Linked DNA regions of Nothobranchius furzeri. The protein of the gene in region 2 interacts with the protein of the main gene of each other region in a pairwise test. Links are inferred from orthologs where the notes say so. Each region holds a gene or a part of one and is shown on either strand. Other genes may lie near its edges. The genes, in order: rasa1a and dlc1.

What was found.
Region 1: the proteins of dlc1 (region 2) and rasa1a interact in binary tests that used the Homo sapiens proteins (3 or more experiments, as listed by UniProt). The link is inferred for Nothobranchius furzeri from reciprocal best matches to the Homo sapiens genes DLC1 and RASA1.

The regions. Positions count from the first base shown.
Region 1 is NC_091757.1:43,357,935-43,362,279, forward strand, and holds the start of rasa1a (ras GTPase-activating protein 1), read right to left. Parts: upstream 3,066-4,345; 5' UTR 2,835-3,065; coding exon 2,287-2,834; intron 1-2,286. UniProt on the Homo sapiens protein: Inhibitory regulator of the Ras-cyclic AMP pathway. Stimulates the GTPase of normal but not oncogenic Ras p21; this stimulation may be further increased in the presence of NCK1.
Region 2 is NC_091746.1:77,702,985-77,707,347, forward strand, and holds the start of dlc1 (rho GTPase-activating protein 7), read right to left. Parts: upstream 2,964-4,363; 5' UTR 2,735-2,963; intron 2,066-2,734; 5' UTR 1,999-2,065; coding exon 205-1,998; intron 1-204. UniProt on the Homo sapiens protein: Functions as a GTPase-activating protein for the small GTPases RHOA, RHOB, RHOC and CDC42, terminating their downstream signaling.

The DNA.
Region 1 (4,345 bases), on a different chromosome or scaffold from region 2:
AAAGCATAAAACAATTACTCCCCCCCCCCCCCCCCCCCCACACACACACACACACACAATGTGGCTTTGCATCTAAACCTTTTAGCTTGATGTAGATATTCAGTTTCTGTTAAAGCCTTATGGGTACTTTCCCACACACTTCACATAGCTCACTGATAACTAAATATCTTAAAATAGATGTGGTTCAGTCTTATTCATCACCACAACAGCAGCAAAAAAGTCACAAAGCAAAAAACAAAATGTGTGTGACCTCTTTGGGTCTTGCTGAAGTTTAATAAAGGGTCTAAATGAGCCTGAGTTGCAGCTAAAGACCTGGGATGAGTCATTTGCTTCATCACTTTATGAAGAATTCACATTGATACTGACATACTTTCTCATATTTCTAAATTAAAACAATGTTGTTTCACTAAGCCTTGTGAAGGGCAGCAAACTGATAAACTAGTACTAACCCACAAAGTCTGTAAACCTTTGACAAAAGTCAACAGCAGCAACAACACACAAGATTGGTAAAATGCTTGGCCTTCCAGCTCCTCTGCAGCCTGACAGTGAGATATAGAGTAGCTCTTAAATAAGAGCTGAATCCACAGTCACTTCCATATTTCACAAAATGAGCTAAAAATGGGAGAGCTCAGCAGTTCTCTAATGACGCTGAAACCAATGGGAGGGATGAATTTAGAGTCTGTAAGTGCTAGCATGTGCATGGATTTTGACATGTGCTTGTTTGCATACCAACGCTGCAGATCTGATGCTGGAATCAAAAAGGCTTTGCAAATACCTTACACTTGAAATAAAAACCTAATTTAATTAGTCTGTTTTGTTGAAGGACTTCAAAGATTACTTCAGTAAACAATGGTGCAAACAAAGTAAAGGCTTTTTTCTTGGAAAACCATTTCTACTTCTAATGTAACAGATAAAGCATTTGTATATGTATAGATTATTGATAAGACACAAAGTTTGTAAAAAAATGTATTGGGTATTCAAGCATATGCAATAGTACAAAAAAGACAGTGTGGCTGTATTTTAAGGTTGGGGTGATATATATAAAACTTTCCAAGCGATATTTGTCAGTCCAAAAAATGAAGAGGGGCGATATATTCGTGCAGGACACGTTTAGACGTCATGTGGTTTGTTGGCACACTGCGTGGATTGCCCCACCAATCACAATCATTCTTACTCAGTTTGCAAAAGCAAGCCACGAGGGTTCCACATGACACTTTGCTGTTTTTCCAATTCCACTGGCTATTTGATGAGTCAATCAATTATAAACTGTGATAACAGAGGACGCCACCATGAGAATCGCAGAAGAGCCCACAGTGTGATCAAATTAATTTACTTAAAAATTAAGTGGCTAAGAAAGTGCACAGCATAGGAGCATTTAAAACTTGGTAGTTAACAAAATAAGGTCAACATCAAAGCGCTGTGCCTGAAAAAACATGGAGATAAAGCCACGTAGAAAAATGAAACAAGACCAGAAACAGGTCAGTGCCATGACTCCTGCTTTGTGACAGCTTGGTGTCTGCCTCCTCTAGTTTGTTTGGTAAATTAAAGAAACTTTGAGTAATAATTTAGTTGAACGTAAGGAGCCTAAAGTGTTCTTTAAAAGTGTGGCCTCCAGAATGCGATGATAAGCAGTGTTGTAATGCCGGATCTCCCTTTCAATGTTGATTTCTGAATGATTGATAGTCTTTTTTTTTTGTCGTTTGCTGGTTCTTTCCTTTATAGCAACTGTTTCAACTCTTTGGATGTAAATGTCTACTTATCATGTTTATTAATATGCAGATATCAAAAGCCACTCCCAAACCGAAATGGCTACATTTCTGCATCAGTGATTATATAAATATGCTATTTTTCATCATATTAAGCTAAATTGCAAATCACTAAATATCAGTTAATGATTGAGACACAAGTGAGGCTAAATGAATGAAGCATAATATGCTAGAGCCTTTTCCCCTGCTGGATGCTACTATCAAAATGTCTAAAAGTTTTAATATAAAAATTACAATTGCATGAATCTTTTATGCTTTTTTGGATCATCTGGACTGCTTAGTTTTGTTTTGGGTGAGTCTTGTTTCTGATATGCAAAACTAAAAGTTAAAAGAAATATTTGGGTGCAAAAATATATAGTTTCCACACCAACTTTTGGCAGAAAATAAGTAAACATACGCTTCTGCACACGTCAGGAGCACAACAGCAGGAAGGAAGGAAGCCTTAAAAACTACAGGATACTTTAAAATTGTAGTTTTTAAGTTCCAATGAACAGGACGTCGTTTTTCTTGTGCTACTTACTGGTTTGTGGGAGGTGCAGAGAGCGGAAACTCCACCTCGTCGTCATCCTGTTCCGGCAAATCCTGTATGTCGCTTTCATCCATGGTGCCGCCGAGACCCCCGCAGCCCAAAGAAGCAGGAGGTGGCGGCAGTGGAGGAAAGAGAGCGGGGTCATCCGGACCTGATGATGTGGGTGAAATCTGGCTAGTTGGTGCCTCCGAGTTAGAAGAGTAGCACATGCCGCCCACTGTCCCGGAGTTTGTTCCTAGAAAACCATAATGTCCACCTTCTTTTCCGCTACTCCCTGGTGCGGGCAACACTGGTCCCGTCATATCCCCACCATGCATGGGATAGCCCACATTAATGACAGAAAGTGAGTCCGGAGAGGTGTTTGAATGCTGCCGAACGGCTGACGATGTTGGCCCTGGTCCCGGATCACTCACTCGCACTCGGCTCGACTTCGGATAGAGGGAGAAAGGGGCCGTCTCGGGGCCTCCTCCTCCGCCTGCCACCCCTGTCCCTGTCGTGACCGAACTCGTGTCTTCACTGCTGACCTCTGCAGCCATCATGTTAAAAACTACGCAGAGGGGAAAAAGTCCAGAAGGGAACCTGCCCTTCCCCTCCGTTCTCAGACTATTCCGTCAGTGTTCGGGCTACGGAGGAACAACACGAAAAAGTTTCCCAAAACCGCGACTAGCTAGACGGCTAACATTAGCCAACAGCTAACTTAGCTTTACAACACATTCGCTCGCCACAAGACAGCCGAGCTAACACTAGCAGCTCTGAAACACTTGATGAGTTCTTGTTGGCTAGGTTTTCATTGTTTCCTGTGTTTAAAGTTCACATATGAACGCTAGTTAAAAATTTAACATGCGTACATTTTCTCGAATGTTTGTTTTCAGATTTTTACGTATATTTTGGGTCCTCACCCTCAGCACCAGACAAACCACTTGTCGACGAGTCTTGTTTTATTGTCACTGTTGAGCGTAATCCCGTCTCTTTTCCAGTGTTGTTGTTTTCTTTCGTTCCGAGTTCGGTGTCTCAACAAGATACCGCAAACAATCGAACCTTGTCTATTACATTCTTGGAATGATTCGCCATTCTATAAAAACAACAATTCTACTGAATAAAGTATTTTTTTCCTTAAGTACACTGGCTAAGTTCGCTTCTATTTTCAGGGGTGGTAGCTTCTACTCCACTTCAGTGCTCCGTTGCTTTTCTCTCCTCCGTCGGACTCGGCTCCACTCACCGAGCAGACGCAGCTAATAGAACAAAGAGCGGAACGACGCTGATCCATGCCATCGTCAATCGTTTTTGTGAACTTGATTAAAAACTGGATGATTGTCTTGGTAAATCAACAAAAACACAAAAAAGTGCTTTGCGTTGTACAATAGGAAAAATCACAAAGGGTCTCCCCAGGTGGATGTTCATATCAATTGATATATTTTAATATTTAATGTAAAAAATTGTACTATATATATATATATATATATATATATATATATATATATATATATATATATATATATATATATATATATAGGCCCTTTTGAGCAGAACAAATAAAAAATATTAAATAATGTTTTAATTCTTAAAAATATTGTTGAATTTTTTTGGCCCGTGAGGAGTTTTAACCAATAGGCCATCTTCTTGAAAAGTTTGGGCATCCCTGACATGGACCAATGTTCCTCTAATGAACTTGATGTATAGTAAATGTTTAGAATTTCATTTAAAATGTTAAAACATTATCTTGTAATCACTAGTTGATTGTTCTCCTCTGTTGAGAAATCAATCCTCACTTTTGTATAAAATGTAGGTTTTTTTTCCTCCAATCTTGTATTTTTGTTATTTTTTATTCATAAATGGAGCTTTTTGTCATGACGACAGACAATGTTTGTTTGTTTTTCCAAATTATCAGCAAAACTCACTTATTGATCATTACAACCACATCAACCCATTATCCCATGAGGATGATCTTGGCTATCTCATGATAATAAGACAGTTAATTTATAATCTCAAAAAAGCAGTGGTTCAAGTGGCGGTTCTTGGCTTTTATACAGATTAGAAAGAAAATTTGTCA
Region 2 (4,363 bases):
CAGACACCCCCCACCCCCAACCAGCTCTGGAAGCATGTAAGCAAGAAGTCGACGTTTTCCACGACACTAGCCAGAATGGGCCCAATAATTTTGTGCTAAAGCCTTCAGCGATATCGCTTTGACAAACGTGTGGCTTCACAATCACAGTTGCTACAGTAACCAGAGCTGCTACTGTTTCTACAACTTCATCATATTTGGTCTTACCTTCCTCATGCGCACTTTGACTGTGCTATCTTCCTTCTGATCTCCAGACTCGTGTGCTCCACTGAAACCTGAACCGGACATGTGTGTGTCGTTAACAGCTGACGATGAGGTACCATCCACCTCCTCCATTGCAGAAACCATGGGTTCCCCTTGCCTGTGGTGTTCGCTGTGACCATCTGCAACCCCTGAAGCCGGTGACTCATGGATGTAATGGTCTGAGGTTTGGTTGTGACGGTGCTCCTGGCTGACCTCTTTAGAGTCTGTCGGCAGGCTCTCCCCTTGTTGCTCAGTAGTCCCGAGTCCATCACCCAAAAGGGAGTCATAAAAATGAACATCTGTATTGTTTAGAGGTTCTTGCAAAGCGGTTTCTTTGACCTCAAAAATGCTGATCTCTAAGATGGTCTCCAGTTTGGAACTGTCATTTTCCGTAGGATGCTCCTCGTCAGCTAACAATCCCTGATCCGTGCTTTCCGTTGATTTACTTGTTTTCACGTGATGATGTTCACGTCGAACAGTGCTTGTCTGCATGGCATCTGCTTCTGTATATCCAGCTACAAGCTGCTTTTCTGTCAAAGAGCTCCTCGGGTTTTTACCTCTGGCATCCAGAGTGTCAGCGAGCTCCTGCTTCACATGCGCTGCGTCCTCGCTCCTCTCCTCTTGTGAACTTTCCCCACCATGAGGCCAGCTCCCTGCTGTCGTTTCAACATTGTGCTGCTCTGTCAATGTTTGGCAAAATATTTCACAATTACCCTGATTCAACCCCTCAGTGGGTTGATAATAATCCCTCTGCCCTTGAGCATTTCTTGAGTGATGGCTCAGTCCTGTGTTTTCATTTTTATTCAGTCCATCCAGCTTGTGAGCTGAGACTTTGTCATGTTTTCCATCCTCTGAAATGGTCACAACCGGTTTAAAGGATTCGTTTGGCAGTGACGTTGCATTGCTACCCTCCATTTTGTTAGCAGATTCTTGCTGCGCAAGAACAGGTCCTCCTGCAACAGGTCGCTCCGAAGTGGAAACGGTTCCTTCAGCAACATCTGGGCAATGAGTTTGAGGTTCCAGCTCGGCAGCCGAGGAATAGTTCAGTGTGGCCTCAGAGATTCCAGGGGATCTGCTGTGACCCTTTGTATGGCTCTCCTTTGTCGCCTGATAGTTTGGAAGGCTGCCAGGCCGTTCACCCGCAGATCCGGACAATGGAGGCTCCTTGTTTGAACAGATAGAGATGTATTGTTGCTCTTCGTCGGAGACGTGTTGGCTTTTAAAGACAATGTCGTCACTGCAGATGTGACTCTGGCTACATTCTGTGCCAGTGTCACTTTCGTAATAAAGAGTTGTCTCAGTCCGATCATGAGGATCAGTTGTGTGCGGGGTATTAACACCGGAGAGCTGATCGTTGGAGTAGCAGCAGACTCCAGAAGCGGTTGGGAGATGCTCCGGGTCCGAGGGAATGTTTGAGACTTCGTTCCCCAACAACTCACGAGACTCACAAACCGACTCTTGCAAATCCAGGGAGGTGTTTCCTCCCAACTTTAAAGGTTCTGATTCTGCAACATCATCAACAACAGAAGTTGCCTTTAGAGATGTCTGACCAACGCCCTCCGTGGACACCTGGCTGCCCTCTGGCATAGAGGCACATCTCATCCGGCGACCTTGCTTCAGAGCTCCCGAGTCAATCCAAACCCCCTCACTGTCAGCTCCATGACAGCACACCAGATCCAGATCATCATAACTGTACTTCAAGCCGGATGGATGAGTCACGTGTTCCTCCCAGCTTCTTTTCCGTATGGCAACCAGCATGGTGGAAACCCAGTTCTATCCAATGGAGCTGCCGTTTAAGCCGGGCTCGATCAGAGAACCAGATCTGCTGTAATTAAAGGAGAAACCAGAGTAAGAAATGTCAGTTTACAGGAAGTGAATTCAAGGATGAAGACGTGGTAAATAATCTGCTTCTCCTGCTGACAGGAAGTTGTGGGTGAAAGAGCAAGAGGGTGGCAATTAGTCGGTTGGATCAGTTTCAATCAAGAACTCGTGCTGAAATGATCTCATGTTGGAAACAAATGTATTTTCAAGCTGTGTCATTCAGATTTTCACATCAACTAAACATAAAGCAATAACAGCTAAGCATCTTCATGGGAGAAAGGACATTTTTTAGCTATATTAACAAGATCGTCATCAAAACTTAATAAGTTGTTCCTGTTTACCCAATGAAACAGGGAGAAAAGTACTCATGATGCAAAAGTCGCATCATTTAAGATATGAAAAAGTCAGAAGTAAAGAAAAATACAGGGAGTCATTAAATGTAAATTTTACATTTAAAATGAGGATTACATTAGACCTGGTTCACGGGAAGGACTTAACATGTGTGTAACTAGTAACAACCTCCTTTTTAACATCATAGCTTGAAATCAAAAAGGGTTTCACTTGGATCCACGCTGAGCTGCTTTCCAAAAACAAATTCTTAGAAAGCAGAAGAGCCGAAGAGGATCTTCTCTCGCTAGCTGGCCCAAAACCAACAGCTGACAGCAGAACTTACTTTCATCACGTACGTCACACTGGAATGCTATTTACTTTCTGTAAATCCTCCAACAACCACAGCTTAAATTATAATCCACTATCAGATTACTGTGATCATCCAGCAGCTGAACAAATATTCCAGGAAACGAGCACAAAGTCCAGAGATGTTCTGCAGGTTGGCCTCTTCTCCATCAGTCAGATGAAATTCGTTCACATGCGTAAAATGCGAGTTCGAGTCTCTCCAAGTGCCCGTTCACGATGAAATCAGTGCTTTAGTTTAAATGTGTGACTCGTCTTCAAGACTCCAGTCTGTCTATTCCGTTCTAAACCAGCTGTGAAGCCTTAAAGCCGGGCAGAAAGCCGGGAAAAGTCCGTGGACCACTTCCATCTTGATCACATTAGGCTTTTTGCTGACACTGAATGCCGAAGAGTGGAGGTGGTGCAAAGAGAGGCTGGGTTTTCTTTTCCCCCACTCCACCCCTTCTCTCTGCTCATCTGGTCTCCTCCCTGCTGCCTCTGACAGGGAGTGTGATTCACATCACAGGAACCCCAGCCCCCGTCTCACAAGTTAAACTCGTATCCGTGCCAACTTTCTCTAACGTACAATCTTTCCTCGATGCTTAGAAGGCAACGCTTATCCCCTTCTTAAACGTGTTTTCTTTCCTCTTCTCAGTTTTTCTTTCTTCCTTCTGCTTTTGCTCCACTAACTGGGCAAGGCTCCCACCAGTTTGGTTTAGATTGGTAACAGACTGGCTGCCTCGTAAGATTTCTGGCTTCATGCCAGCAGAGATTGCTCTAATGTTTTGGCAGCTACATCCAAAAACCTGCTTTTATCCCTCTTTCTTTTTTTCCAATTTGTCATCTTGTAACGGTACAAGTATTCCTAACCAAACACACTGGCAACGAAGAAAACTATGCAGGGCGAGACTTGTCTGCTGATAATCTGAGGACACGTTTGACAAATGTTGTCAAAGGTTTATCTCTGCTATAAAGTGTTGTTTGAAAAATGAGGACAACTTTACAAGTGGTCTCTGGTAGGACTCAATGCTTGTAAGTAGTGCTCTAGGGAAGTAAAGCTCTGACGCACCTGTTTCAGGAACTAGAAGTGAGCCAGATCAGAGGAAAGCTTCAGACAACAAGATTCGGAGTCTTATTTTCTGATATTTGGACATTTTGCCTCTGATTGGCTAACAGCATCGTGACTCTACCACTGACTGTTTTCTTCGCAACGCTGATGTTTTATCTCCGCAAATAACGCAAGCCTGGAGGAGTTCTGCTGTGTGGTGGAGTTGCTAATGCTAACTGTTAGCTCCTACTATCTGAGACGTTCTCTGCCGTTTGCTGGACGTTAAACCAACAACAGCATTCCCCTTCGTAAGCCGAGATGGGTGAGTCCATGAACGTTAAGTGACAATGTGACGTAGATCTGTTGGGATTTTCAAAGACTTGAGGTTTTTTCATCTATTTTCTTTCAGAACCTAATGCAGGAGACTAGTTTCACCATGTTAATCTCAGAGTGATCGATCATTTTCAAAATTATTACGGAAAAATGGTTTTTCGTTGAAGGACCTCGTTAAAGGAGGCTAAGGTGATACAAAAAAATAAAAATCACCTAATTTAGCCATTTCTTGGGGGTGCTGATTGGAAG